Astyanax mexicanus: one gene and its partners. The protein of the gene in region 1 interacts with the protein of each later gene in a pairwise test. Links are inferred from orthologs where the notes say so. Each region holds a gene or a part of one and is shown in the gene's direction. Other genes may lie near its edges. The genes, in order: zyx, cass4, tuft1a and nebulette-like.

Region 1 (7,480 bases):
GCCCATATCTGGCTCCACTGCTTAACATAGATAGCCTTGCTGTCTGTCCACTTCTTTAAAGCCTCATGTCCATCAATCGTTTGCCTTTATCATTTCTGCATATATACTCCCTTTGCGCCTGTCTGTTCTCGTTCCTGAAATTCTGTTCCACAGCCTATAATATGGGAGAGTGGTGTCACATCGTCAGTAGCGTATAACTATAGTCAACAATGCAACATCATTTTGGAATAGCCTGCTACGTCAGTTTAATGATTATTAATTACATTTTCTGATTGCAAAAATAGTAAATGTGATGTAAAAACATTTTTTTTAAATGTAGGTTTGGTTACAAGAAATAAGTTTTCATCCATTTTTCCAATGTAATTTTTTTTCCATCTATGCCCCTCACAATCGGAATTTTAGGTAAAATGAATCTTTTCTTTATTTTCTGATTTTTACATTTTTGCATTTTGCAAGTTGGATTATATCATCAGATTTGTGTTACAAGACATAAAAATGGAATCTGAAAATCGAAAGAAGATTTAACTTTTTGTGTAAGGCAGAAACAAAAAACTAGATAATTGAAATAATTGGATAAAAACACATTTCTTATTCTCTATACTGAATGAAAAAAAAAACAATAATTAAGTTTTATACCTAATTTTCTATTTTCGAATTTAGCTTGATACGGTCAGAAAATTAACCTGCTAAACGTTACACTGACCCTGCTAATACCATTTTATATTATTATTATTATTATTATTATTATTATTATTATTATTATTATTATTATTATTATTTATAGTCAGTGGATATCCTTTATAATGTTGTTTGAAGGCCTAGCGGCATCTAATGGCATGTTAACCCTGTTTAAATATGCTGGTTAGGATTTTGGCCAGATTGAATCTTGTGTAATCTAGTGTTTTGATTATAATTTATAAATAGTCTGTCATTTAGATAGCGTTCCCATTTTGGTAAACTAGCGAAGGAGATAGAGAAAAGCGAGAAGACCTGGCACAAGATTCAATGGCTTGCCCAGGACAGTCGAGAGTGGAAGTTCTTTGTTAGTACCTTATGCTCCAGTCAGAGCAAATATTTTTGATGATTTATGATGATAGGCTATGTGTTATCTGTATTATGTTCTCTGCATTGTTCTTTTATATACTTGATAAAGCCTTCAATGCGCTAAATAATATGTAGGCTTCTTTACTGTTCTGACAGTTGCCACCCACAAACTCTGCCTTTGCCTACCTTCATTCCCACAACTGCTCTTTCTAGTGGTTTCCCTGCTTTAAGCCACCTCGATTTAACTGATAAAGAGTGTGATAATTAGTTTGGGAGGAACATCAGAGCAGCGTAAACACTACAGTATGCAGAACTGCTGCACTCTCTCCAACTGGATTTGATTAGCTGTATTTAAAGCCCTCTCTCAGGGCCTCTTTTGATGAATTGGAGTTCTGTACTGTCATCTAGTGGACGAGCCAAAAAGTGCAAGGCTACACTTAGCACACGATCAGAACTAAATATGGATAGGTGTCCACGGGTATGCGGGTGGGGATCAGACAGAGAGCATAAGGCTTTTCTGAATGCTATTTCAATATGAGTGATTCGGTCCTGACACAGTATGCAGCTCTGTACCAGAGGATTAATTCTCAGAAAATCTAACTAAGCACAAGTGTGTGATTATGCACAACTGTATGATTATGTATATCTCTGTGGGTGAGCACAGCAAGTCAAGTGCAAACACAAGTCAAGAGTTTTTCGAATGCTCTCAGCAGGGGAGGAGAGAGACAGAGAAAACTGAAAAAGAAAAAATATGGATGATTGCAGTCCACTCTCCCCCCTCCGAATGAAGGGGAACAGAATGAGGATGTAGGAATCTAGCTGAGGCATACAGTATGAGCACACACAATGAGTCATGGTGGGTGAGGGTGGAGGGGGAATTGTTCTGAGCTGTGTCTGGCAGTACTCCAAGCTGCACGGACTCTGCTTCCAATGGGCCTCCTGCTGAGAGCTTCACCTTCAGCCAGGCTGCAAAACACTCCAAAATATCTCCCATCTCTTTCCCTGTGCAGACTACAGCCCACGACTGACCAATTACTTTAACAACAGTTTCTGTCCTTCTTTGTCTCAAACTAAATCCTTTGGGCGAAAGAATTGTAGAAATGAGTGTTGTGTAATATTTTCCATAATAATTGATTATATCATTGGGATTTGGTCTGATACTTATATCCAGAGCAACAAAACCGAATTAGAAAGGTCTGAGAGAGTGTGGAAAAGGCTAATAAAATAAATATGCTCTGTCTGCTCAACTTCATTTTACTTGAAACCTAAATAATGATGTTATTTCAAACATATCAGGTCAACAGGCATTTGTAACCATGATTTGGTATAAGAGCAGTATCCAAGGGTAAAGGCTGAGACATTCGGGACTTTCTGCAGCAAAGATCAGCAGAGGATCTCCATGGAAGATGCTTAAAAACAATGTTCCAAGTAAGAATGAAAAATATTTGCAGGTTTCCCTGTCTATTGTGCATAATATCCTTAAAGCCGTTTAGTGCATAAAAATCCTTAAAGCGGAAAGTACAGGGACACAAGCCTAAGCTGAACACCCACAATCTCCAATTCTTTTAGACAGCACTTCATCAAGAAACATCATTCAACAATAGCTAATGATAAAAAACATGGAAAAACTTTGGTAAACCATTGTCATGCACTAAAATAAACAGCTACTTTCACAAACATCACTTAAATTTGTACTGTGCCAAACAGAAGCCTTATGTTAACCATGTCCAAAACAGTGTTAACTTCTCTGAGTGCTGAGGCATCTGGGGTGGATCATCACAAAGTGTAAATGTAGACTGTTCCAGTATTTCAGATATTTTTGGGGGAAATAAATAAATGTGCACAAACCAAAATGGAAAAAAAATAATCAAGGCTGCTATTAGCAACAAGTTCAACAGCCAGAAATGAAGCTTTTACATTTGGGGTTGTGGCAGTACACTTTTGTGGCAGCAGCATTAATGCAGAAAATTTACACTGAGATCTTAGAGCAACCTTCAAAACAACAATCCTTTTAAGGGATGTCCATTCATTGTTTATAAAAGTTAAAGCAAATAAATGAAACACTTTTTAATTTGCATTTTCCATACTGTTTTAAAGTAAGTAAATGGGGCATGAAGAGTCTTGCCTAAAGACATTTATTAGAGTAGTGTGGTGTACTCGTCTAGCCGGGCAATTAATTTCTCATCTGTTGTGTCGTTACCAGCTTTGCTACTACAAAAGCCATTATGTTTCTATAGTATTTTACAACAATATTTATTGTAGTGTTGAAGGCTGTAGAAAACTACAGTACTTGAATCATCTGTAGGATTCCTACAGAAATTCAAAAAGGATCATTACACTTTTCCCTAAGTAAAAGAGTGATCCTTTTTAAACTAAGGCTAAACTGTTATTTTATGCTGGGAGGCCGCCTGTGACCACTCCCTGCTGTTATTTTTCACTTAGGCCTACATGTAAGAAACAAAACAAGTCAAACTGTCTCCTTCCTGACAGGAGGGACTGTTCCACATTAACGGTGCAGGGTCCAGTGCTGTTTTCTGAAAAGGCAGCTTCCACTGCATCAGCCTGGGCAGTGAGCTGTGCAGATGGGATTTGTGGTTGTGAGCTGCACAGGAACAAATGCTAGATATTTTCCAGGCTGCTGTAGACTACAGGGGGAAAAATAATAATGCACCTGAAACATTAATAAGCCTAGTCAGGAAGGATAGACTGTATGTATGTATGTATGTGTGTGAGGGAGAGTGCAGCAGATGTGCAGGATGGGTGGAACTGAGCTCTGACACTGTGGAAGCGATAAAAGGACATTTTTTTAATATGACTCTGGCTCAGATCCGATAGAAAGAAAGCCAAAAAATCTCTGTATCACAGTCTTATTTACAGTACAAATTAAATCTGCACTGCACTGCATTGTTCAGCCTGGTTCAGTGGATGCTTTTCTTTCGGGCCTGCTGTTAACAGGAGAGCTGCTAATATCTTTCGGATGATCTCATGTGTTTCACATTACAGCTGGAGCTGGCTGTGGAAAACCATATGAGCAGTGGAATAAAATGAGGTTCACCATAGCTGCACTAAACTTCTTTTCATTTTAAAGTGTTAGCTTTTTTCTGTTGTTGTTGTTAAGCTGGGCTCTCCTGTGGGTTTGAAGCTGATCTGAGTGCAGTGTTTTCCCTGAGCACCTCATGTCCCTTCACTACCCTTCTCCTGCCAACTGTTCCTCATTTCTATGTCTGTGTCTAATCAACCCCCAACCTCTCTTTATCTTTCCCTCCTCTCTCTCTCTGGCTCTCTCACTCACTCTGCCCTTACAAGGAAAGGCAGGCAGGGTTGATGTCATCGAATGAAGAATGTTTAAAGAATCCTGAGAGGCGAAGAGAGGGAGAAAAAGAGAGACAGAGAGGGGAGGAGAGTGTGTATGTGTGTGTGTGTGTGGAGAGAGAGAGAGAGAGAGAGAGAGAGAGAGAGAGAGAGAGGTGTTTGGCATGTGATAGACCTGACCAGGGTGAAAGGCAAACGAGAAAGAACTTGTTTAGAAGGATGGTGCCATTCTTTTGGGAGACAAATAGGGGGAGGGTCTAACAGGAACAGTTTGTGAGTGAGGGAGAAAGTGTAAAAGAGAGAGAGAGAGACAGGGAGAGAGAGTGGACTTCCAGTAAAAAAGAGAAGTCTGTATCAGTAGAAAAGGAAGATACCAAGACCTCCTTCAGTAAAAAGGTAAGCTGAACCTTCCTTGCAACAGATAAACAAGAATGCCAGCCTCTCTTTAAAAAAAAAAAGCTCCTGATGTCACTTTAGGCCTCTAGGGTTTGATGGAACTCAGCATTAGTTTCAGGGGATTCTGGATACAAAAGCTTTTTTGGAGCATTTCTACTGGTCAATTTACTAATAAACTGATTGTTGAATTAATATAACAAACAACCAGATTTAGATGATGTCAAAAAGTAAAAAAAATGGCAAAAATGAGAACATAAATGTATCATTTTTGAACAACAAAACACAGTTATGCAGTGCCAGTCAAAAGTTTACACACACCTCCTTTCATTAAATGTGTTTTCTGTCTTTTTGTGATGTTTTTTACATTGTAAATTTAATATTGAGGATACTAAAGCTATATATTAACACAGGCAGAATTATTTTGTGAAAACAGAAAGTGTTAAGCAAACCAGAATATGTTTTATTTTTTAGCATTTAGCTTTGGGGACAGATCTGCCCACATTTATAGGTATTTTCTCAGTATCTTTATGAGGCAGAGTCACCTGGTATGGTTTTCTCAGCATTTTGAAGTTCATGGAACTGCCTGTATCACCCTTTTCTTTAAAGTAAAATAAGTATATTACATTCTGAAAACGTTGACTAGAGAACCGTAATAAAATTAAAGTTTTAGAGGGCATTACCTGTTTATAAAATATTAAATTGAAAATGAAATTTAGAAAATGCAAAATTCATGATTAGATTTCTATATTTTTATTATATTTAATATTATTTTATTCCTCATATTTTTACATTTGCAGATTTACTTTTTTCATTTTTAAAATACTTGCTATTTCTATTACGGTACAATTACGATTTTCAGTACAGTTTATTAACAAACATAACACCTCCTCCTCAATATATAAGTGTGTAATATCTGGCAAAAAAATCTAAAACGCCTGCTTGTTAAGGGATTTAAAAAGTAAGTAAAGAAAAACATTAAATGAGAAGATTTGTCCAGACTTTTTACTGATAATGCATGTTACAAATTTGTAGGAAAAATGGCAAGGAAAAAAAAAAACAATAAAAACACAGCTGTAAAAAGTGCACATATTCCAGTTGTATTATTTTTCTCTAAGATGATGAGATAATTACAAATGTATTTTTATTGTATTTTTAAAAAAGCCACAAAAACAAATGCAAAGAAAAATAAATTTTAAAAAGCATATCATTTTTCCAGTTGTATTTCTTTATTTAATGAAATGTCAAGCAATCACAAAAACAATCCACATCAGTACTAAACCGGGGAGTTCTGTATTTCAGTATTTTATCCGAAGTTTTTGCTAAAAGTGCTGAAAATCGATCACATTCACTCCCAGCGCCGGGGAGAAGGCGGAAGCTGGAACCGGAAGTGAGGGTACATTTCTGGGGGAAAACTTCCCACAGCAACATTTCCAGGTGGAGAAAAACCTTCAAACAGCGGCCAAGAGAACACAATGAAGAGAAACGAGCTGGATAAATGACTAATCAGACCCCGGACTGTACTGGTGCGGTGATATCAGGTCACTAAGGGAGGGGTTAGCGCGGCAGACAGGCGTTAAAACCAGGCGAAGGAGCTGAACCTGGTCCCCGTGGTGCTGCTGCTCGACTTTAGACGGTTTACTGATCTAACCTAACCTACCTACTAACTGTGAAACTACTACTGTGATACACTCCGCCGCTGCTCCGATCAGCGTAAGAAACCCTGTTTTCTATAATCTGAGTGAGTGAGTGTGTTTTCTGTTGCAGTGTCCGTATTTACGGGATTTATGTGTGAAAGTGGAGTGCTCCAGTTACCTTACTCATTGGTATTATTATTATTAGCAGCAGTGTGTGTTTGTATTGTTTCTTTTTTTGTTATTGTCTTTCTGTGAGGAGTAGCATGAAAATCGATAGGTTAGATAACTAAGTTTATTCTGTGTATAAATAGGATTGTCATACAGGTATTTGTTTGTGCCATTGTATCCTGTACACTAGTAGCTGTATTAGAGGGGTGGGGCAGAGTCTGTGCTTTCTATCTAGTTAAATAGGTTATTTCCCTAGTTGTTCTCTAAGTATGTCAAGCTAAATGGTTAAATTGTTTACTAAGCAAAGATAACCTACATTAGCTAGTTATTTAGCTAATAAATTAGCACAAATATGACCTGGCTAGCTAGGTAACTAGCTTAGCGACTATACGTGCTGGGGAACCATGGTTCTTCTAATATTATTATTTTTTAGATCTAGCTTACCATATTGCTTAGTATTGTGAACCTACGTTCCCTTGTTTTTATAGCTATATAGCTAAATGTTTTTTTTTTCATCTTATAGCTATTGTTTTAAACTTCTTGACACTGCTGTAACATTACAAATTTCGCCGCTGTGTGATTAATAAAAGCTCGTTTTATCTTATCTTTTCTAAGCTAGGTAACTAGCGTGGCGGCCCCTATTATTAACTTCTCGTAATCAAAATATTTAAAATTTAGCTAAGTCATCTGTGAATAAACTGAAAGGATTTACTCACCCAAATAAACGGGGTTCAGTGTCGATATATATGTATAGTTTAATATACAAGAAAAAATATATGGATATGTTTTCTATAATAAAATTTAAATGCATGCTATGCTAACTTTTCTTATTTTCTCTCAAGCTGTTGTGTTAGCTGGCAGGTAGCCGGTGTAGTTGCTAAGCTAGCTAGCTAGCTTGCTAGAGTTAGCTGTTAGATATCCATATA
Region 2 (7,304 bases), on another chromosome or scaffold:
TATATTAGTAAATTAGGACATGTGTAGGGGTGTGACAATATATCGATATTGTGATATCACATTGTGATACGTGGCTTCAATTATGGATGCTTTTATTAAAACATTAGCGTTATAAACTCTCTAAAGCTCCAACCAATTAGACTAAAACTTAAGTTGCTGCTTCTTTACTAAATAAATAAATACTAATAAATCCATAGTTGCTGGTATTTGATTATTTAGGAGTGTTTTACCCTCCTCAATAATGTAGATGCTGTGAAGTATCGTAGAGAACTGTATTTCGATAAATCGAGCATAGTGATGATGGGATATTGTCGTTATTGTGGGAAATGTATTGTGATAATGTTGTATTTCTATGATTCCCTTTCTTTATATGCAATTCCACTGTTTTATATCAGTTTTAGAAAGTCCAAGTTTTGGTTTTGCTATTTATAGGTTTATGTTTGAGTAAAATGAACATTGTTGTTTTATTCTATAAACTACAGACAACATTTCTCCCAAATTACAAATAAAAATATTCTCATTTAGAGCATTTATTTACAGAAAATGAGAAATGACTGAAATAACAAAAAAGATGCAGAACTTTCAGACCTCAAATAATGCAAAGAAAACAAGTTCATATTCATAAAGTTTTAAGAGTTCAGAAATAATCAATATTTGGTGGAATAAACCTGGTTGTTTTTTAATCACAGTTTTAATTTCATGCATCTTGGCATCATGTTCTCCTCCACCAGTCTTACACACTGCTTTTGGATAACTTTATGCTGCTTTACTCCTGGTGCAAAAATTCAAGCAGTTCAGTTTGGTGGTTTGATGGTTTGTGATCATCCATCTTCCTCTTGATTATATTCCAGAGGTTTTACATTTAATAAAATCAAAGAAACTCATCATTTTTAAGTGCTTTCTTATTTTATTTCCTTATTTTTTGTCATTTTAGAAGTAAACAAATGTTAGAATCTGATATGCAGAGTTTATATCAGACCTTAATTGAAAAAACAGCAGCCTGAGTGAAATTCCTTTTGGTGTCGTTTAACAGATGTGAATGTTTTTATTCCAGGAGAGAGCTGTCTGAGCGTCAGTAAACCAAAAAATCTCCAGACTGGTCACTTAATTCCTTATATTAAAACAAGGACAGAAATGTGGATTTCCACTGATAATGTTAATCCAAATTAATTCAAAATGTGTGAAATTATTTTATTAATTCATTACTCTGTAGGTAGAATAGAGTATAGATACTAGAGTTTAATAAAATACTTTTGTACGTTAAAAAAAGTATCAACTCAAGCTTTTAACTTTTACTTTTAAGTAAAAGTGTTTTAAAAAGTACTGGATTTAAACCTTATACTTAAAGTATAAAAGTAAAAGTAATGTAAGGAGAAAAAATAAAGTAATCAAGACTAAAACCTTTAAAAGCTTAGGCCACACCCACGGGTGTGATGGATCACAGTATAAACCAATAGGGAGTCAGAATGGTATGTGTTTATACTTCTCTACATCCAATCACAATCAGATTCACTCTATCTGGATGGAGAGATTTATCTGGATAGGGGGTTTATTAAACGATGAGAAGCCGGAATGAAAACGATCTGAATTAGGAACTAGGAGTAGCATGGCTGTTTGTTTTTAGAAGTAGAAGTAGTTTTATTTAAACTTTTACTCAAAAAGTAAAAAGCTTGAGTTGATACTTTTTTTAATTCTACAGAAGTATTTTATTAAATTCTAGTATCTATACTCTATTCACCCTACAGAGTAATGAATTTAGATACTTTTCACACCTTTGATTATGTTTCTCTTTATATAAATTAAATTTAAAGAGTATTTTAGTGAAATTCTTTGTGGAGTGATTGCAGCAGATGTGGAGCATCACTGATAGATTGATGGGAACTCTTTCTGGCTGGGTTTCGTTGGTGAATACCAGACCACGACTGCAGGATCTGCTCCAGTCTGTCCTCCAAAACTTCCCCCAAACCATAAACCCCATCCCCCGTCCCCCCGTCCCCGTCCACCGCTCTTTGTGTCGTCTAGACAACAAAGCAGAAACTCAGAAGAATCCAGGTCTTTAAAATAAGCTGTCAACAATAAATCAGCTCAGACGCTGGAGGGGATAGACTCAAACACACAATGGACGAGTCTGAAACTGTGCCTGTTCACTATATACTGTTCACTATACACTGTTCACTATATACCGTTCTCTATATACCGTTCACTATATACCGTTCACTATATACTGTTCACTATATACTGTTCTCTATATACCGTTCACTATATACTGTTCACTATATACCGTTCTCTATATACCGTTCACTATATACTGTTCACTATATACTGTTCTCTATATACCGTTCACTATACACTGTTCTCTATATACCGTTCACTATATACTGTTCTCTATATACCGTTCACTACATACTGTTCACTATATACTGTTCACTATATACTGTTCACTATATACTGTTCACTATATACTGTTCTCTATATACCGTTCACTATATACCGTTCACTATATACTGTTCTCTATATACCGTTCACTATATACTGTTCACTATATACTGTTCTCTATATACTGTTCTCTATATACCGTTCACTATATACCGTTCTCTATATACCGTTCTCTATATACTGTTCTCTATATACCGTTCACTATATACCGTTCTCTATATACCGTTCTCTATATACTGTTCTCTATATACCGTTCACTATATACTGTTCACTATATACTGTTCTCTATATACCGTTCACTATATACCGTTCTCTATATACCGTTCACTATATACCGTTCACTATATACTGTTCACTATATACTGTTCTCTATATACTGTTCTCTATATACCGTTCACTATATACCGTTCTCTATATACCGTTCTCTATATACTGTTCTCTATATACCGTTCACTATATACTGTTCACTATATACTGTTCTCTATATACCGTTCACTATATACCGTTCTCTATATACCGTTCTCTATATACTGTTCACTATATACCGTTCACTATATACCGTTCTCTATATACCGTTCACTATATACTGTTCTCTATATACTATTCACTATATACTATTCACTATATACTATTCACTATATACTATTCACTATATACTACTCACTATATACTATTCACTATATACTCTTCACTATACACCATTCACTATACACCGTTCACTATACACCGTTCACTATATACCGTTCACTATATACTGTTCACTATATACCGTTCACTATACACTATTCACTATATACTATTCACTATATTCACTACAAAAAAGGGGAGAGAGAATAGAAAAAAGACATAATATGGAACAACAAAGAAAGCAGAAGAGCTACGAGAAACATATTTACACTCCACTGTCAAGCAACACCTTAGCAACCACCTAGCAAAGCCATAGCAGCCACCACTGCAACACCTTAGCAACCACCTAACATACCTTAACAACACCATAGCAGCCACACTCGCATTTTCTGCAGGAACACCTAGCAGCACCTTAACCCCACAGCAGCCCCTATAAACACTACAGCAGCAACAAAGAAGCCACCTAGCAATATCTAGCAACACCTTAACAACACCATAGGAACCAACACTGATACCACAGCAACACCTTAGCAACCACCTAGCATAGCGTAATACCTCAGCAACCACCTGGCACCCCATAAATCGGCACTGCAGCCACACTCGCACTAGGTGCAGGAACACCTAGCAGCACCTTAACACCACAGCAGCCCCCTTATACACTACAGCAACAACACAGCAGCCACCTAGCAACATCTAAGCAACCATCACAGACACCATATCGACACCTTAGCAACCACCTAGCAACACCTTGACAGCCACCATAGCAGTTACCACTGACACCACAGCAACACCATAGGAGCCACCTAGCAACACTTGCAATACCTTAGCAACCACTTCACACCCCAAAAATCAGCACTGCAGCCACACTCGCACACCACTCTAGTTTTTATTTACTTTTACTTTTGTCCCAAAAATTGTGTGTCTAACTGTGTGTGTGTGTGTGTCTAAATATGTGTGTGTGTGTGTCTAAATGTGTGTGTGTGTGTGTGTGTGTGTGTGTGCAAAATAAAGCATTAACTGTAATGAATAGAAGTAGCATCACACCGGAAACAATTAAAGGAAAGAGTGATATCAGTGGGCAGCACACACTCACCCACTACTGAACACTGCTGCATTTCTCAGAAGAAAAAGAGGAGGCGGGTGAAGACAGAGGGGCGGGGACAGCTGTGGACAGGCGCTGTGATTGGCTGAGGGTCCGAGGCAGACTGAACTACCAGCAGAGTCTTCCCTCATTCACTCACTGCTGTAGAAAGTGTGTGAAGAGATTGAGAGATTGAGAGAGAGAGAGAGAGGGAGGAGTGTGAACTGTTGGATTAATAGTGTTAAAAGTGATATAAAAGTGAAGGAGAGATCAGAGGTGTAGAATCAGAGAGGAAGAAGGTTTCTGCTGTAGAGCTCTGAGATCTACTGCAGCTCTAAATGGAGATTTAACTGGATTAAACTGCAGACCAGTGATCGGAGACGGAGATGGAGGTAAGCACTGATCAATACTATCAATACTATCAGATCATCTACATACAGCTCTGAAAAATAAGAGAACACCTAAAAATGATGAGTTTCTTTGATTTTACCAAATTGAAAACCTCTGGAATATAATCAAGAGGAAGATGGATGATCACAAACCATCAAACCACCAAACTGAACTGCTTGAATTTTTGCACCAGGAGTAAAGCAGCATAAAGTTATCCAAAAGCAGTGTGTAAGACTGGTGGAGGAGAACATGATGCCAAGATGCATAAAATTAAAACTGTGATTAAAAACCAAACAGGATTATTCCACCAAATATTGATTTCTGAACTCTTAAAACTTTATGAATATGAACTTGTTTTGAAGCTCTGCATCTTTTTTGTTATTTCATTTTTGTTAATTCAGCTTGATTTCAGATGTGTGCACCTTTTTGATTTTTGCTTATGAATGGAATGTATAATTATTAATATATTTTTATCTATATAAACAGTCAAATATAATTTGCTGCAGATAATTTACATACCGAATATAAAATAAAAATATAAAGTATTTTATCAACACACACACGCACATTGCTAACTTGCATTTGCTTTATATATTGTCTCAAAAGTTTACGAGAAATTGACCAATAGAAACGCTCTACATTATGTGGCATACATTTTTTCACATTCCATTTATTTAGTTAAGATTTTATGTCTCTCCTGTAAAGTTGTTGTTTTGGATGATGCTGGAATAATGGTTAAATCAGCACAATTGCATTAACTTTTACTCTAGTGATTGGTATAAATTATTATTGATTAGTGACTATTTTTAGTCATTATTGTTTTGTGATTTTTTTTTATATCACAATACATACATTGCACAACAATATTCCAATATCGTACAGCCCTAATAGTGATAAACACAGAAAAAACAAACAAACACATGAAGCATCAGCAGAGTTTAGTAACTTGGTGTTTGGTTAACCAGAAGTGTGGGGTCCCTCTGGGCTCTATCTTAGGGCCTCTGAAACTGCTGTATCGGTTATTAATGTATAGTGTGAGAGAAGTGTGTGGATTACAGGGTTTAAGCGTGAGTTAACATCATTAAAACTAACATTAATTACCAAAGTAACAGTATCAAACACTGCTGAAAAACTTTAGTAAGGAATCATGTAGTAACTTAAAAGTGTTAAACACTCTGTGAAGAGTTTAGTTTTTTATTCTTTCCTGGAGCGGTCCTGATGAGTGCCAGTTTCCTCATTATAAAGTTTTTGATGGTCTTTGCGGTGACTGCACTTAAGGATGCTTTCAAAGTTCTTAAAATTGACTTTATATATTAACCTGGATTCGAACATTACTCAAATATTCACTATTCACTGTATACCTGTAACTCTACCTCTTCACTACTTTACTTTAACTGATGCTCTCAAACACTTTATTAAGAGACAAGAAATTCAAGTAATTAACTCTTGATGAGTTCAGCACAGCTGTTAACTGAAAGCCTGAACTCCAGGAGATTCTACCTCCTGTTTTGATCTGGGTCAAACTGACCTGTTTTAAAATGTATAGATCTAGGAAAAATAGTTAAAATGATTTTTTTTCAGTATGAAAATGGTTCATCTTACATTTTTGCAACCACCCCTTGCAAAAACTAAAACTAAAACTAAAACACAAAATTGCAATGTTATTTTTTAATATTAAATAAAACTACTGTATTTTATATACGTTGGTGTTTCAAAAGTAGTGAAACATTAAGAAAAGTTTGGACATTAGTATTTTTTTTTTTATGAAAAACGAGTGAATTATCCTAATTGAAGCATTATTACCTGTAATTAAACATAAACCAGGATTAATCAAATTACAGGAGGGTTAACACATTTTTGTTTTTTAATTCTATATATTTTTGTTCATAGTTTGAAGAAGTTTAGTATTATTAATCTACAATGAAGAACATTTTTAAATAATTAAAATACAACAGTGAATTTTAAGGCGTGTCCAAACTAATAGTGAGTTAATAGTGATCAGCACTCTTTATGAGGGTCACTTTCTTTCTTTTTCTTTTTTTCTTTTCTTTTTTTTTTGCGTGTGGACCTCCAGCTGCTGGGATATCAGTCTAAAGGCTGGTGTCAGCTCACCATCCTATTTTTTCATGCACCCCATGACCTCCTTTCAACCCCCCCACCCCCAACCCTGAAGCCCTGCTTAGAGCTGCAGTGTCTGCTGTGAAATACGATACTGAGAGAGAGAGAGAGAGAGAGAGAGAGAGAGAGAGAGAGAGAGAGAGAGAAGGGGACTTTATTGGTGTCGTTAACTTGTTGCTTTCCTCCAGGAATCCCTGGAATTAAGTCGAGTAGAAAAGACGTAAACCAGCGTACAGACGGGCTTCTGGGTAAAGTGTTGAAAGACCTCGTATCTCCCTGAATCCGCGCTGCTACACTGTCGTCAGCTGAACTCAACACTCAACACCACAGCTATTCTAAGACTCCTCGAAGCAGAAGTGGCCTCTGTGTAGTTTTTTTTTTTGTGATATCGGTTGCAAAAGTAATAAATGCAGAAGTGCAGAGGATTTAAAAGTAGAGTCTTAAAACAGACCCTTTAAAAACATTTTTAACCTGTGTGAATACACAAGTTAGAATACTGTAGGTCTGTCTTCTATACAAAACATGTTTTGTTTTATACCAGTTTCAGTCTCTTTCAGAGTGTGCTGTTTAAGGGCTCTGTCACTTTTATGCAAATAAGCTGTTACTTAGTGGCATTAGTTTTAGCTTGTGCTAAATGGGAAAACAAAAACAA
Region 3 (6,980 bases), about 37 Mb from region 1:
TACAGCTAAAACAAAATGTTTGACCCAATGTTTTAATATAAAAGTAAGCTTTTTAAACAAAAGGAGCAAAATTATTTAATGATATGCCAAAATGTAGTCATATTGTTAACAACAGGTGCTTCTTGATTAAAATCTTTTTAACTGTATCTGGTGGATTTATGTCATGTAAAATGCATTAGTCACTTAGTATTTGTTTAATCCAGGATTCAGGATAGTTGAAAATATGAGTAGTAGCTTATTTTAAATACAACCTAAATGTTTAAGTTAAAAAAATTAAAAATAAGACATGGTAAGGAGCCTAAATGCCTGCATGCAAGTACTTGCGCAGCACTGAACTGGAGCTTTGTCAGCTAATCCCTCACAAAAAGTGCCTGTTGTGTTTAGCATAGCAGGTTCCTGGCAGTGTTTCTCACGACTACTGGGAAGGCTTGTTTGGTTATAGAGGATGGATGGTTCGCTCCCATAAAAACACACTTGCCATCTTTGTTCAACCTGCTGCGTCAGGGCTGTTTACTTTTACATTTGACCTTTTAGCTGACCATCTATCTCTGCTTGCTCATCTTCCCTACAGCTTCCTCTTTAGCTCACAGTAGAGGAGTGAGAGTGGGATAAATGCTTTAAAGAGCAGTTGGAAATTAATAGATGATGGCTTCTTGGTGCATATCAAAAATTTATTAGCATTTTTCTTGTGTATGTAACAATAATCTTGCTGTTTACATTTTCAGAAATCTGGGATTTAGCCTGATCTATGTCTAAACACAATTAAAGAACAAAACTTAACCTCAGTGTAAGAAACAGCACAATTCATTTACTTTTTTGTCAAATTTAGTGGACAGTAAGATAGGCAGGTCTGTCTAATACAAAGGCTCTTTTTGTATCTATTTTAACTTGGATAAATCATTTGAATAAGACCTGTTTGCCGTATGTTAATGTTTAATTTTAATGCTTGATGGCTTTGAAGGCACTGCCCATGAGCAAATTCCATCATCTGTGTGTTTCACTAGGCAAATACATCTGTAACACGCATGCTATGAGAGCAATGTCAGCTGGTTTGTTTTCACCTCTAGGTGCTAAATATCAGTAATTAACAGCAGCATTAGTGGAATGTTCTGATGTATAATGTTGTTTTCTCCCCTGAGGTGCACATCATTCATTTACAGCAACTTAAAAAGATCTACTGTGAATGATTGTGTTAATGATTTTTAATAGATATATAATAATTTTAAATAATTGTATTTATAAGTGCGAACACTTCATTTAATAATGTAAAGCATCTTGTTGATCAGGTTTAAGTCATTTTAAATATTCATAAACACTGTAATTAAATAAACAGTTAATAGTTAAAGTGAAATAATTTGTTAACATAGTTAATATTGGTTAAACTTGTTTAACATCACATATTTAACATAAGCAAATAATATATTAGATGATGCTTTGTTAGTAGGTTATAAGTATAAAGTATATAGTATAAGGTTTTTGTACGGTCATGAAAACAGCAAATTCCAGGCCTGGATAAGTTTTGGAAAAGTCATGGAAATTTGCTCTACAAATCTCAGTGTTTCCGTTTAAGAAAAGCTATTTTGGTGTTAAAAATAATTGAATGTTTAGGCAAATCCGTTGTGTCTTGTCTGCACTGATTTTTTAAAGACTGTACGTCATGAAAATTTGCTGCGAAGGTTTCGGAAAAGTCATGGAAATGTATTAGTTGAAAAGTGTATGAACCCTGTATAAGGTGCTACCCCCTAAGTATGATAGATAAAATTCTTTATTGTCACATGTAAATAGAATATTCTATCGAAATTTTTAAATATCCACAATAAAACTGTCTTATTCACATAATAAAACATACTGTCTTATTCATGTCAATTGGCTCTCCTTTCTAAGTAAATATAATTGGGCAGTATTGAGGTCAGCAGAAATACTGAAGTCATGCCCATATATTGTGTGATAAGTTGATAATGCATTTATTATGACAGGGCTAGATATAAGTGACCTCTGCTCTGAATGGGCCACCCTGAATTATGCCTCATTTAAAAAGCTGGCCAGACTGAAATGCTCTGTAAAGCTTTGGCATAAATGGATGAGGATAAACTGATGTAGGCTTATTTGCTGCTACATGTAGTTTTTGTGACATTTACATTTACGATACTTAGCAGACGCCCTTATCCAGAGCGACTTACAACAGTGCTTCAAAGTTACTTCAGATATCCAAAGCTAGTTTTTAGACTAGGATCAAGATACACATAGAACTTAATCATGTTTAGAACCCTAGGAACTTTTTTTTTTTTTTTTTTTTTTTGACATCACAAAAATATATAATTTAAAGAGGTCTGTTTTGATGCCTCAGTAACTTCATATATGAACCGTGTGGATTATCTATTAGGGTAGTGCACACTGAAAACGGTTGAGAACGTTTTGTCTGCATCATGGTCTTGGGTTACCTGTGTAGTTCTCACCTGATCTTTACGTGTCACTGAGAAAGAATGTCAGTGTGTGTGTGTGTGTGAGAGAGAGGGAGAGATTAGTTGGGCCTCAGTCTGAGCGCCAATAAAAGGTCCGGGAGCTGATATCCGATTACACATTCCACTCTTGGCTCTCTCATGTGTTCTTTTTCTTGTTCTTTCGTCTCCTCCGGCACCTTTTTCCTGGACATTGTTTTGCTGTAGATTAAAGTGCTGTTTTGGCCAGAACTCACATTTACACAGTTTCCCCCATTTAGCACAAATGGTAATGGATCAGCTATGACGTGTTTGGTGACTCTGTTTTGTAGCTCCAGTGCAAAACTAAGGAGGGAATCTTTTAAAGCTGTGTAAATTTGATCTTTTGCTGAACTAAAACTTTAAGTATATGCATTTACAAACACTGCTTTGTAACATGAGAAGACAGGAAGGAAGAGGGAGCGTGAGAAATAAATTAGAAATAGATGTCTCTGTACATATGATTTGATTTACCATTCAAAGCAGATATGACGGGTTTGGTCATATGATTAGTTTTTCTATCCTGGTAGATTTTGTTCTTTCTGTTTCTCTGATTTAACTACTACTTTTTTGCCGTTTTTGCAAAAGAAAAATTCACACTTCTTCTTTCCTATTATATATCTACTAGAGACTATAGATTATATATGTCCAGTATAATTTATTTTACTTTATTCCTGGATATATGGAGATATTTCGAGAGCATTATTAGTATCATGACATTCTAGATCATTGACTTCTGTTACAAATCTGATAAAATTCTTGTATTTATTTTAATATCTCAAATTTTATTTTCATTTTGTTGCAGTGGTGTATTCTTGAGATTTTTTTTTTAGTTCAGAGTTTTGTCATATCGCCAAGAGTATCGTTATATCGAAAATACCATGAAATATTGTGATATTATTTTAGGCCAATATTGCCCACCCCTACTGTCAACTTATTCGAAGTGCCTACCTTGTATTTTCACTAACTGGCCACTTTATTAGAAACCCCTACCTTTTTCTTTCACTCACTGGCCACTTTATTAGAAACCCATACCTTGTATTTTCACTCATTGGCCACCTTAATAGAACCCCCCTTCTATGTTCTTCCACTCTTTGTCCACTTTATTAGAAACACTTACCTCAAGCTTCTACTCTTTTGCCACTTTATTAGAACCTAATCTATTATAGCTCCCCAGTATACATATATAGTTGCAGACTGTTTATCTGTATCTTCACTGTTTGAAAGGTCAGTGCATTTATATAGCTGTGAGGGGCTTATATGATGCTACTAGGTATGAATAGAGCTGTATTGCTGTAAGCAAAATCCACACTGATACCCTGTGAATAGAGTTCATAATCCTCTACTGTTTCTGGCGAGAAAATCTGTGTGCGTGTGTGCATACCATACGTGCAATTATGCCTTTGTTGCTGTCCTGGACTGAGGTGTGGTGTTCAATTTGGCAGGGCGCTTGTTTAAATGCTGCTTTGCCTTCTATGGAAACACGGACGCACACACTCTCATACACAGGCTATGACTAGCTCCAAAGTTCAGTTTCAGCAGTCCTCCTCTCTCCTGACAGTGAGACGAGCGGACCTGAAGACTGGTTCATTTGCTCTGGTAAATAAAACTTTCATTTATTTTACTGGACAGGATAAAGTGTCTGGTTTTGGTCATTTAAGTCTGTCTAGTGGCTTTAGTGTCGACATATTTCCACAGATAAAGCTGTTAGCTAAGATTGCATGGGTGTGTGATGTCTCGTTGCCAGATTTGTTTTGTCTGTGGTCATCCCTGTGGGATTTTGTAGTATTACAGGTAATCTGGTAAACATTGCATTATAGCCAAATCACTTTAATCCAGTGTAATGACACAGAACACAGCAATGTGCTGCGGTGTATCGTGCATCACTGCTATTATCTCAGCTACTTGATGTATTGGTGCACAGACTCTGTTTGTGGTCTATGTTCAGAGTTGTGTGTGCATTGCACAAAGCCTGTGTTTACCCAACAGCGAACGTCACTCACTGATAAGCAGATGCAGCGCAGCTTAAACCCATACTCCAGTCAAAGGATTATATTTGTCTAAAAGCCCCCTAATAGAACTTTAGTGGATCTTCTTACTTGGCGTACCTCATCTACCATTCGCCCTCAGAGAAACTGAAATGTGTTGGATTCTATTTTTTTGTCTTTTCGACTATAATAACATCAAATTAGGGTATTTGCGTTCATCTGAGAGCTATTTTTAAATGCATTTTTAGCTATAGTATGAACAGCTGCTTTTTAATAACCCTATTAACCTTGTCATGCATTCAGACTCATTGTTTTCACTTTGCTTGGTTTTTCATGTAGTTATTGAAACACACTAATTTAAGTTTGAGATTCAGAGAGAAAAATTACTTAAAACCTGCCCATGTTTGGATCAGGAACTGGAATTTTAGCTTTTTGTGCGTTACTGTGATTTTTCTTACTATATAAAAGCTGTCATTATTGTTGAATGCAATGTAGAGAAGGACCAATCACTGTTCTTGATGTCTTATAGTGATTTACATATGATCAGTATTTTCTTCTAATGCATTGTTAATGTCTAATGTGATTTCTGCTTATTAGTACTGCCGTATCTTTTCAGGATGACAATAAAAGGTAAATGACTATGGATGAAGAGCTTATAGCTTATAGTCTTACAGTTGTTGCTTATCGCTCTGTATACCTATAACTTTAACTTTTAAGTATTCAAATGAGTTATCACTGCAGGGTGTGAGTGTCCTTTGAAATGCGCACACACTCGTTATGCAACAGAGGGGCTGTGCAGAGAGTGTTTGTCTATCAGAGTCAGTTAAACACACACAAGTCACTTACAATTTCAACAGTGTTCTTCACTGGAAGGGTGCGTGTGCAGTGACATTTCCCATGTATTGAACTGTCAGGACAGTCTGAGGTGAAGGTCAGGGGGAAAGTATGTGTGGAATGTCTTGTCTTAACTCTCTCTCTCTCTCTCTCTGTCTTTCCTCATTCCCTGCGTTAATATTAACATATTGACTTGAAGCTTAAAATGCAGTGTGAAAGTGTGCAGGTGCATGTGTATATAGATAAAAGTCAATAACGTGTGTGTTATATAACCAGCTTACTGCCTTCTGCTGAGTAAATACCTCTTTGTGACTCTGTGGGTGTGTGCATGTGTGTGAGTTTAAGCGTGTAATTAGGGTTTTTTTTTTTATGTGATTCGCACAGCATTCTTTTGGGAACCTCCTCTTCATCAACACTGTCAGACTGTTGTAAGATTTTGTGGATTTGTAGTACAGTTTTTGTGTATAGTACACTACAGATATGTGTCCACATGCCTTTAGCATTAATGATTACATATAGATTACAAATAACAAAATAGTTTGTGATTATTCGGAATAAAACCATTTAGCTAAGACTTCAACAGTGCATTGTATAAACTTCAAACAGCTTATCCACTGCTGCACTCCCGGTTTATGGTGGGCAGGTCTCCTTGACTTTTTATTTTACATAAGATTATTTTGGTGGGGGTTACATTTTTTAAAATACTTATTGCACTAAACAGCCAATGGAAAAAAGTGACTTTAAGTGATGAAACCGAAGCTATACATTATATTTGTAATGAGAAAATAATTTCTAATGCTGATTCACCATCAGCATCACCATCCGCTCTCTGCTCTCATCACTTTCATTGAGACGCCGGCATCTGTTGGCTGATGTATCAAAGCTGGGCATCTGGTGCTTTCCTATAAGTGCATTGGCTGCCTAGTAATATTGCATTGGTGGCAGTTTGAAAAGAGGTGGGAGGCTTGTGCTCACCTGTGTAGTAACATTGTGTAAACATTGTACATAATACAGGGTGTCTGCGAATGCTTAAATCATCTTACAAGGTCTTATGTTCATTTATCTCAAAAGGCTTAATTTAAACAGAACCGACTGCATTATTTATGGCTCATGGCTGTACTTAAGGCCTGGAAAAGTGTAAATTTAAACAGAAACAGTTAAATATCCCAGTTTTGCACTGGACCCTGCTTTCTCAAAAAGTACAGAAAGTTCCATTATCATTTACACAAAGCTTTTTTTGTGAAATCTCAAAATACAATTTATTGTTAAAGTGGACTTAATTTTGTGTCTGTGGGATATTTAAAAGTCTTTTCTCGAATAACTGCAGATACCCTCATAAGACACAACAGTAATTTAGGAACTGTATTTGATGTTCTGCATCAGATCTGCATGTTTAGATTATCTGCATCTTCCTTCTGCATTCCTTTTAGAGCAGAAGGCTGTTTATTTATGCGCGTTGTCATGGTGATGTTCCACGTCGCCCCAAAGAGTACTTCCCTGTTTGGACTCTGTGCCACAATTCAAATGTACATTCAAACCAGTGCTCTGGCCGCCGGAGGAGTTGTGGTATTTTCCAGAAGCTGCAGACTGGAAACACAATGTTCTGTATCTTAGAGACGGGATTGCATTTCCCCTGCTTTTTTTCCTCTCACTTTCAAATTGAGTAAGCACTGACGTTCAG
Region 4 (6,927 bases), on another chromosome or scaffold:
TTACAAAACTAAAAAAAGTTCCACCATACTTTTTTTTTGAGTCCATGTGCTGTTTAGCTTGAAATATTGGCTACCCTGGCCCCACAATTTTCAGTCTTATAAATGAGCCTTTAATCTGCTGTCAGTGATGAATAACGCAAAATAAACGATTTGTCAACTGAATAAACCAGTTCTAAAATAATGAACATAAAACCTTCCCTGTAATTCTTATTCAGTTTATTTTGCAACATAAAAACAAAGGGAAAAGTGTTTCTTACTGTTTGTCTTGTACATTTATTGTTTAGGATCTTTCTAGTATTTTTGTAATAAAAATGTTTTTCTTCACTCTTTGAGTTTACATTGATTTTAATGCGGCATATGTTTAATAAGAGTTAGATTTTTTTAATAAGAGTGTGTTTGAGATGTTTATTTTTGGTAAAATGCTAATCTGTGTACGGTACTGTTAAATGAACATTATGCTTAATTTGATATATACTAGCTATCCTTAATTTGTGGCTCAATTTGGGTTATTTTCTTATTGGTTATATAACGGGTCATGTGGTGCCCGTTTTGAACTTTTCTTTATCCTAAAAACTAAAAACAGTAAAAACTGTATAGAAGAAACAAATTACATTAATTGATTAAACAGCTTACAGTATAAACAACAAATCATTAGGGTCAAATAAATATGGTAGGTTATTGGCTTTTGTGCATTGACACCATAACATCAACCACATGCTTGCAGTGTGTAGAATTTCAGTATGTCATAAAACACTATAAATACAACATACTGTATTAAATGAGCCAGTGTAGACACACATTCATGAATATAAGAATGTGTATATGGATATGGGGGTAACCTGCAGGCAGTAGAGCCCTTTCACACGTGCATTAACATCGGTACGTTAAGTGCTGGCCAGCAAAAGGCTAGTCAAGGACGGCATTGGGAGAGGGGAGAGAAGAAACAAGGATTCTGAAACTGACTGTAGCAATCTTGTAATATCCAGTGCCTTCGGACCAGCCGACATGAAATGTGCGCCTGAGCCTTTTTAAACCGCGGAGATAAGATGAATAACTCGAGGATGGTGACTAAATATAAATGTTTTATATTCATCTTTATTACATTATATATATTATATGTCAATGCGTATACATATAAAATAAACTGCGCACAGTGTCAAATACCGGCAAAATTTGAGATATTTGTCACACTTTTGCACCGCAATGCATGCTGGGAGGTTGGTCTTGTCTCACTGGCAGAACACTAAGGAATTTATTTTCTACACAATGTTAAAACACTTCAGCTAAAAGTGAGAAAGTCTGGGTTGATTATTGGTTTGTTTACTTGCTTAAAAAAAACGTTTGTTATTTTAAGGCTGTTTAGCCACTAAACATGCGGTGAGATCAGTGCTGGATTATTATGGAGAGCCGAGTGACTGCACACCGCTAGAGGGAGCCCGCGAGGGAGTCCACAATGAATAAGAGTGAACGGAGCTAAACGGCTAAAAACTCTAATTAAGAATAGTATTTAAACACGTGTCCGGGATATTCCTTTACTTTTAGAAATTAGAATAGAGTATATTGCTTAAAAACATAGAAAACTTACCGTATGTTTATATTTTTCTGCAGAAAACGATTTTGTGGACAACAGATCCGCTAGCATTACTGCTACCGAGGGCTGATTGGTTGGTGAGTAAAAGCTAGAGAGTTTAAAACTTTTATAACTGAGTTTAAAAGCTTTTAAGCTCTTTTTAAAGCTTTCTAACCCACATTTGTTCCTGATTGATGTTTAGATAATTCGCATTAATTATTTATTCAGTATAAAAATAATCTAACATTTATAAACTCTGGATTTGCTCACTTGCTCCATATGAACCCATTCATTTTTGACTCACTCAGCAGCGCCCTCTGCTGGCCCGACAAAGCCTAAAGACATTCTTAACCCTTTCAGACCCTGCGTCCATTGAAATGGACAATTTATGTTTTCTTCTTTATTTGTATTCTTGCATGTAATACAGATTTAGGCCTGTTATCCAACAGAATTGACATTTATCTATAGTGAAAAACAGCACCTTAGTAGCCTCGCCTACTGCATTAAACAAAATAATAATAATAAAAAAAATCATGTTATGAGTTATTTTTACTGCTTAGGAGGGATTTGTGAAATAAAAAAGTTATATAAAACTTACCAATGTTTAAAAAATTATTACACTGCAATTAACATAAAAATAAAAATTATATATATATATTATATTTATTTGAACTGCTGCTGATGTAGCATTGCCAAGTAGACAGCACGCTCGGAGGAAAGTGCAGCGATACAGCAGCTCACAGACGCCTTGTGCTGATCAACATCACCTTTTGGAGTGATGATGGGAAAAAGCACCATCTACCCACCCAGAGAGAGCTAAGCCAATTGTGCCCCTTCAGAGCTTTGGCAGCTGCATGACCGGGATTCGGACCAGCTCATAGTACTTTAGTAGCATTTCTGCTACTGTGAGCTGATTGGTTAGTAAGATTATGCTAGAGTTAAAGCCAAAGCCACAGCCAAGTTTAAAAGTTTATAACTGGATTTTAAAAGCTTAAAAATGATCTCAGCAAAAGTGAAACATCTTTACATTATTTAGTGTTGAGCATATAGCTCAATTCCCAGTATAAAACTAATGAAACATTTATAAACTCTCATTTTGTTTACTTGCTCCATAGGAACCCATTTATTTTGGACTCACTCAGGAGAGCCCTCTGGTGGTCAAACCAACGCACAACACATTCTTTAGTGAGTATTCTCCACTAAAGTCAACCTCAGTCTTCTATCTGAAAATGAATAGAAAAATATATTTTATTTATTTTAGCTTGTACAATTGTTAGCTAAGCTAAGCTAAGGCATCACTTGTTCAAAACGAGCTGAAACACATAGTAGACAAAAATTATGCCACTCCTGTGCTTTTGTGCAACTCACTAAGAGAGTTACTATAGCTTCAGTGTTTCTTTTTTTTTATTATTAATATACTGTAAAATTGGAATAAATGGCATTGTTAAATAAAATGCTTTGTTGATATAGAATCACTGTGATAATATCTCTGGGCGTTGCTCATAATGAAAGGTCATCAATGCTGAATTCCAGTAAACCTTTAAATCAATTACATTTAAAAAGTAAAAACTACATATTATACAGGAAACTTTAAAAAACTGTAAAAATCTAATCGTTTGCTGGGCGGAGTCCCAAATCTTTACATCCCAGGTAACGCTTCTGCTCACAGCTGTCACATAGCTGACAAGTCTGACAAACATTCAATTAAGTAAAAAAGCAAAGGCCCTATCTGTGTTTAGAGCATTTATCTAATAACTGTAATGCTAATTTATTCAGCTTTTACTAGACATTTGTTTCAGGTGGTCTCTGCTGGTCTTTGTTGATTAAGGTGGTGTAAAAGCTGATCATTGAGGCAAAAACAGACCCAATACTGGTAAGCCAGCTGATTTACCAGCTCTTGACCAGAATAGTGTAGGTTGCCATTGATTAAGTCATGCTAATCATGCTGATCTGCTGGCTTTGTCATACTGGGTGTCTAACCCAATCAGTTAAAATAGTTTAACCATCAGATCAAACAAACTATGCTGACTATGCTGATTTTCAGCAGAACTGTGCTTTAACATGTAGATATTACCGTGTCGGACAGAATAGAACTGGAACATTCCTCAGACTGACAGCATTATCAATAGCAGGAGGTCTTTTAATGGCTCTGCCATGATAACACTAAAGTGCTTTCTAAACCGAGAGGCTCAGATTTGATAAGAAGCTCCTCATCCAGAGACACAGACAAAAAGCCTCCTCAGACCAGAACAGAAATTAGGTTTAGCATCATACAGATCTTAGCAGAACTTTAATCAGATTCATTGTGTCTTAGTTTTATTTGCACTCTGGAAATGTCTACCGCTGATGCTAAAGATGCTGACAAGACAGATAAAGATGATACCAGTGATGCTTGTGCACTTGTGGAGGTGAGAGATTTCTCTTTCATTTGTCTTTTCTAATGATTGTGAGCAACAAACATATTTCTAAACCTGAATCAGTAGATCTAGAATGATGTTTACTCTTGTAAAGGTTAACACGTGGTAGTGAAGTGACTAGTTATAGTGACTATTTTCATTAAGCTGATTGAGCATAGTTTTAATGACATCAAACATCAGCAAGAAAAGCTTTTGGAAATTGTGGAATTTTACAGTGTAGTATTTTTCTAAGCGTAAAGAGTATATATATATATATATAGTACTGAAACATAGGCCTGCATGATATTTTTATAGCATCATTCTCTATGACATTTTTAATATCACAAAATATGTCACAGAACAAATATTGCAGTGTCTGTTTTTCAGTATCATACATCCCTACTGAAAAGAAAATTAAAGTGATAGTACCCAGTAAGAAAGTGCCTAAAACTAATTTAAATGCTCCTTGGAAAAAAATGGCAAAAATGGTTACTATAGTATCCAGTTTGTAAAAAAGCGTTTTTAACATTTCCTGTAATGTAGGAGTGTGCCATATTGTATCATACACAATGATATCATACACAATGATATCTGAAATATTGTGCTATATCACCCACCCCTAATTATTACATCAGGGTACTACTTTTTTTTACTGTTTTTTAGCAAAAAAACTGGATATATGGAGATATTTGAAGTGCAGTCGGTTGACTTCGGTTACAAATCTAATAAAATTTTTGTGTTGTTCCTTATTGCAGTAGTGTATTCTTGAAATATTTTTTTCAATTTAGTGTTTTGTCATATCACCAAGAGTATTGTTATTGTGAAAATACCATTAAATATCACAATATTATTTTATGGTCATATCGCCCACCCCTACTGTAGAGTATAAAACAGTATTACTTATGGTCTACTTCAAAACTCAGTTATCTCTGACCTCCATTACTTCAGGTTGTCTTTAACAGTCATGTATGTTAACAGTGATTTGATGATGAAAATTCTAAATATTAAATACTGTGTGAATTGTATAATTGTTTATTTATTACAAGGAGAAAGAGGAAATGAAAGAGCTTTTACCAGACTCTAATAGACCCATCTTACAAGATACTGCAGAGACTCAGAACACTGCTGAGATTACACAGCCTGCGGAATATAAGGTACAGCCACACAGTGAGGTGCAGCACACTGCTACATTTAGGTTCTTCTGAATGTGTGTCCTCCCAAACAATACATTTTAAAGCATTTCTAATTAATTGTCTGTGGCGTCCTGAGTTTAAAAAGCCTAACATTAAAACAGCTTCATTTAACATGATTATGTTTCACTGTAGAGAACAGACTTTCCTGGGTTGCTGTTTTAATACGTCAAGTATTTTTGTGTGTGATGTGTTTAGGAGTGAAAATGAACAAACTGGACAGCAGGAAAAAAGGAGTACCCTTGTAAAAGAAAAGTGCATTTTAGTATATTTGTTAATAGTATACTTAACATGGAAAAGTACATACTTTTAACATTAAAATTAAAACATACTTAAAAACATACTAACTGTTCTATTTTATAATAATTTATGACAACTGAAGTATATTTTAATTGTAATTAAGCTATATTTTATTACAACATTGAAACATTTGTTTGGGCTTTTCAGTACGTCTGCAAACTTAGTAGATTTTAGTATGTCTTTTTTAAACACATTTTTTAATACACTTGAAATTTATTGTGAATGTACTACTTTGCATATGGATGCACATATTGTGTACACCTTAATGTTACTGGGAAAAAATACGCTAAATTGCACTTAAAGCAGTAATTAATGCCACTCTTTATATTTTCTATCAATACAATGTTCCATTTAAAGCATATTGCTTAAAAATACATTCTATGGAAATACAGATAAAGTATATTTAATGGGTATTTTATAACGTATATAAACTAGAAAGTGTACTTTTAGTATTCTTTACCTAATTAATTTGAACATACTTTTTTAAGTAAATTCTTAAGTATACTTCCTTTTCACAAGAGAATACACTCTTCAGAGTGAGGTAACACACACACACTACACTATTGCTACTCTTCTGTTTGTTTGTAATTAAAAGTTTAAATTAATAATTAAATAAATAATTATGTAAATTTCTCCTCCTCATTATTCTAATCCTCTGGCTCCAGTATAAAGAAGGGAAGAAGGATTTATCCAGTTGTCTTTACTCCGCTCTGCCAGAGACCAGAGAGATGCAGTTTGCCAGAGAGGTGACTGAAATGATAAGTCACTTAATCTTACTATAAAACACTGTATGAGGAAATATAATTTTTATATTCAGTGATTATGATGATTATACTTATGATGATTGTATTAATGGTGATTATATTTAAGTTTTTGAATGTTCTATAATACTTATTACTGTATGCTTAAAATTACCTAACTGGGCAAGTCAACCAGTATGTCCACTTCCAGATACACTAGACAATCTAAAACAAATGCTAAATGTATTGCTAAACCAATGTGTTTTAACATATTTCAAAAAAATAAAAAATAAAGTAGTATTTTGGAGTTAAAAGGCTTGATTAAACTCACCTAAATCTGGTTATAAGTTAAAATGTTTTCTGCAGTCCATGAGACAGTTTTGGAAAATTTACACTTTACTCACATATTATTGAAATAAAATAATTATTCCAGGTCTAAAAGTACTCTAACACAATTGCCAACTGTAAAAATACACTACCTGGACAAAAAAAGTCTCCACCTGGATTTAAGTAAGTAAATGATGTGGGGTTGATGCTGCAGTTGGTCTGCAGGTCTAGGTTCAGCAACAGTATGTGCTGAAAGAATGAGGTCAGCTGACTACCTGAATATACTGAATGTAGACCAGGTTATTCCATCAATTGATTTTTTTTTCTTCCCTGATGACACGGGAATATTCCAAGATGGCAATGCCAGGATTTATGGGTCTGGAATTGTGAAAGAGTGATTCAGG

The links.
Region 2: the proteins of zyx (region 1) and cass4 interact in binary tests that used the Homo sapiens proteins (3 or more experiments, as listed by UniProt). The link is inferred for Astyanax mexicanus from reciprocal best matches to the Homo sapiens genes ZYX and CASS4.
Region 3: the proteins of zyx (region 1) and tuft1a interact in binary tests that used the Homo sapiens proteins (3 or more experiments, as listed by UniProt). The link is inferred for Astyanax mexicanus from reciprocal best matches to the Homo sapiens genes ZYX and TUFT1.
Region 4: the proteins of zyx (region 1) and nebulette-like interact in a two-hybrid assay, tested with the Homo sapiens proteins (2 studies listed by BioGRID and IntAct). The link is inferred for Astyanax mexicanus from reciprocal best matches to the Homo sapiens genes ZYX and NEBL.

Annotation. Positions count from the first base shown.
Region 1 is NC_064413.1:39,113,513-39,120,992, forward strand, and holds the start of zyx (zyxin), read left to right. Parts: upstream 1-4,461; 5' UTR 4,462-4,752; intron 4,753-6,129; exon of another isoform or gene 6,130-6,462; intron 6,463-7,480. UniProt on the Homo sapiens protein: Adhesion plaque protein. Binds alpha-actinin and the CRP protein. Important for targeting TES and ENA/VASP family members to focal adhesions and for the formation of actin-rich structures.
Region 2 is NC_064431.1:32,798,668-32,805,971, forward strand, and holds the start of cass4 (cas scaffolding protein family member 4), read left to right. Parts: upstream 1-4,302; 5' UTR 4,303-4,530; coding exon 4,531-4,536; intron 4,537-7,304. UniProt on the Homo sapiens protein: Docking protein that plays a role in tyrosine kinase-based signaling related to cell adhesion and cell spreading. Regulates PTK2/FAK1 activity, focal adhesion integrity, and cell spreading.
Region 3 is NC_064413.1:2,086,228-2,093,207, reverse strand, and holds the start of tuft1a (tuftelin 1a), read left to right. Parts: upstream 1-3,970; 5' UTR 3,971-3,989; coding exon 3,990-4,076; intron 4,077-6,980. UniProt on the Homo sapiens protein: Involved in the structural organization of the epidermis. Involved in the mineralization and structural organization of enamel.
Region 4 is NC_064408.1:108,678,807-108,685,733, reverse strand, and holds the start of nebulette-like, read left to right. Parts: upstream 1-3,903; coding exon 3,904-3,978; intron 3,979-5,012; coding exon 5,013-5,120; intron 5,121-6,121; coding exon 6,122-6,202; intron 6,203-6,927. UniProt on the Homo sapiens protein: Binds to actin and plays an important role in the assembly of the Z-disk. May functionally link sarcomeric actin to the desmin intermediate filaments in the heart muscle sarcomeres.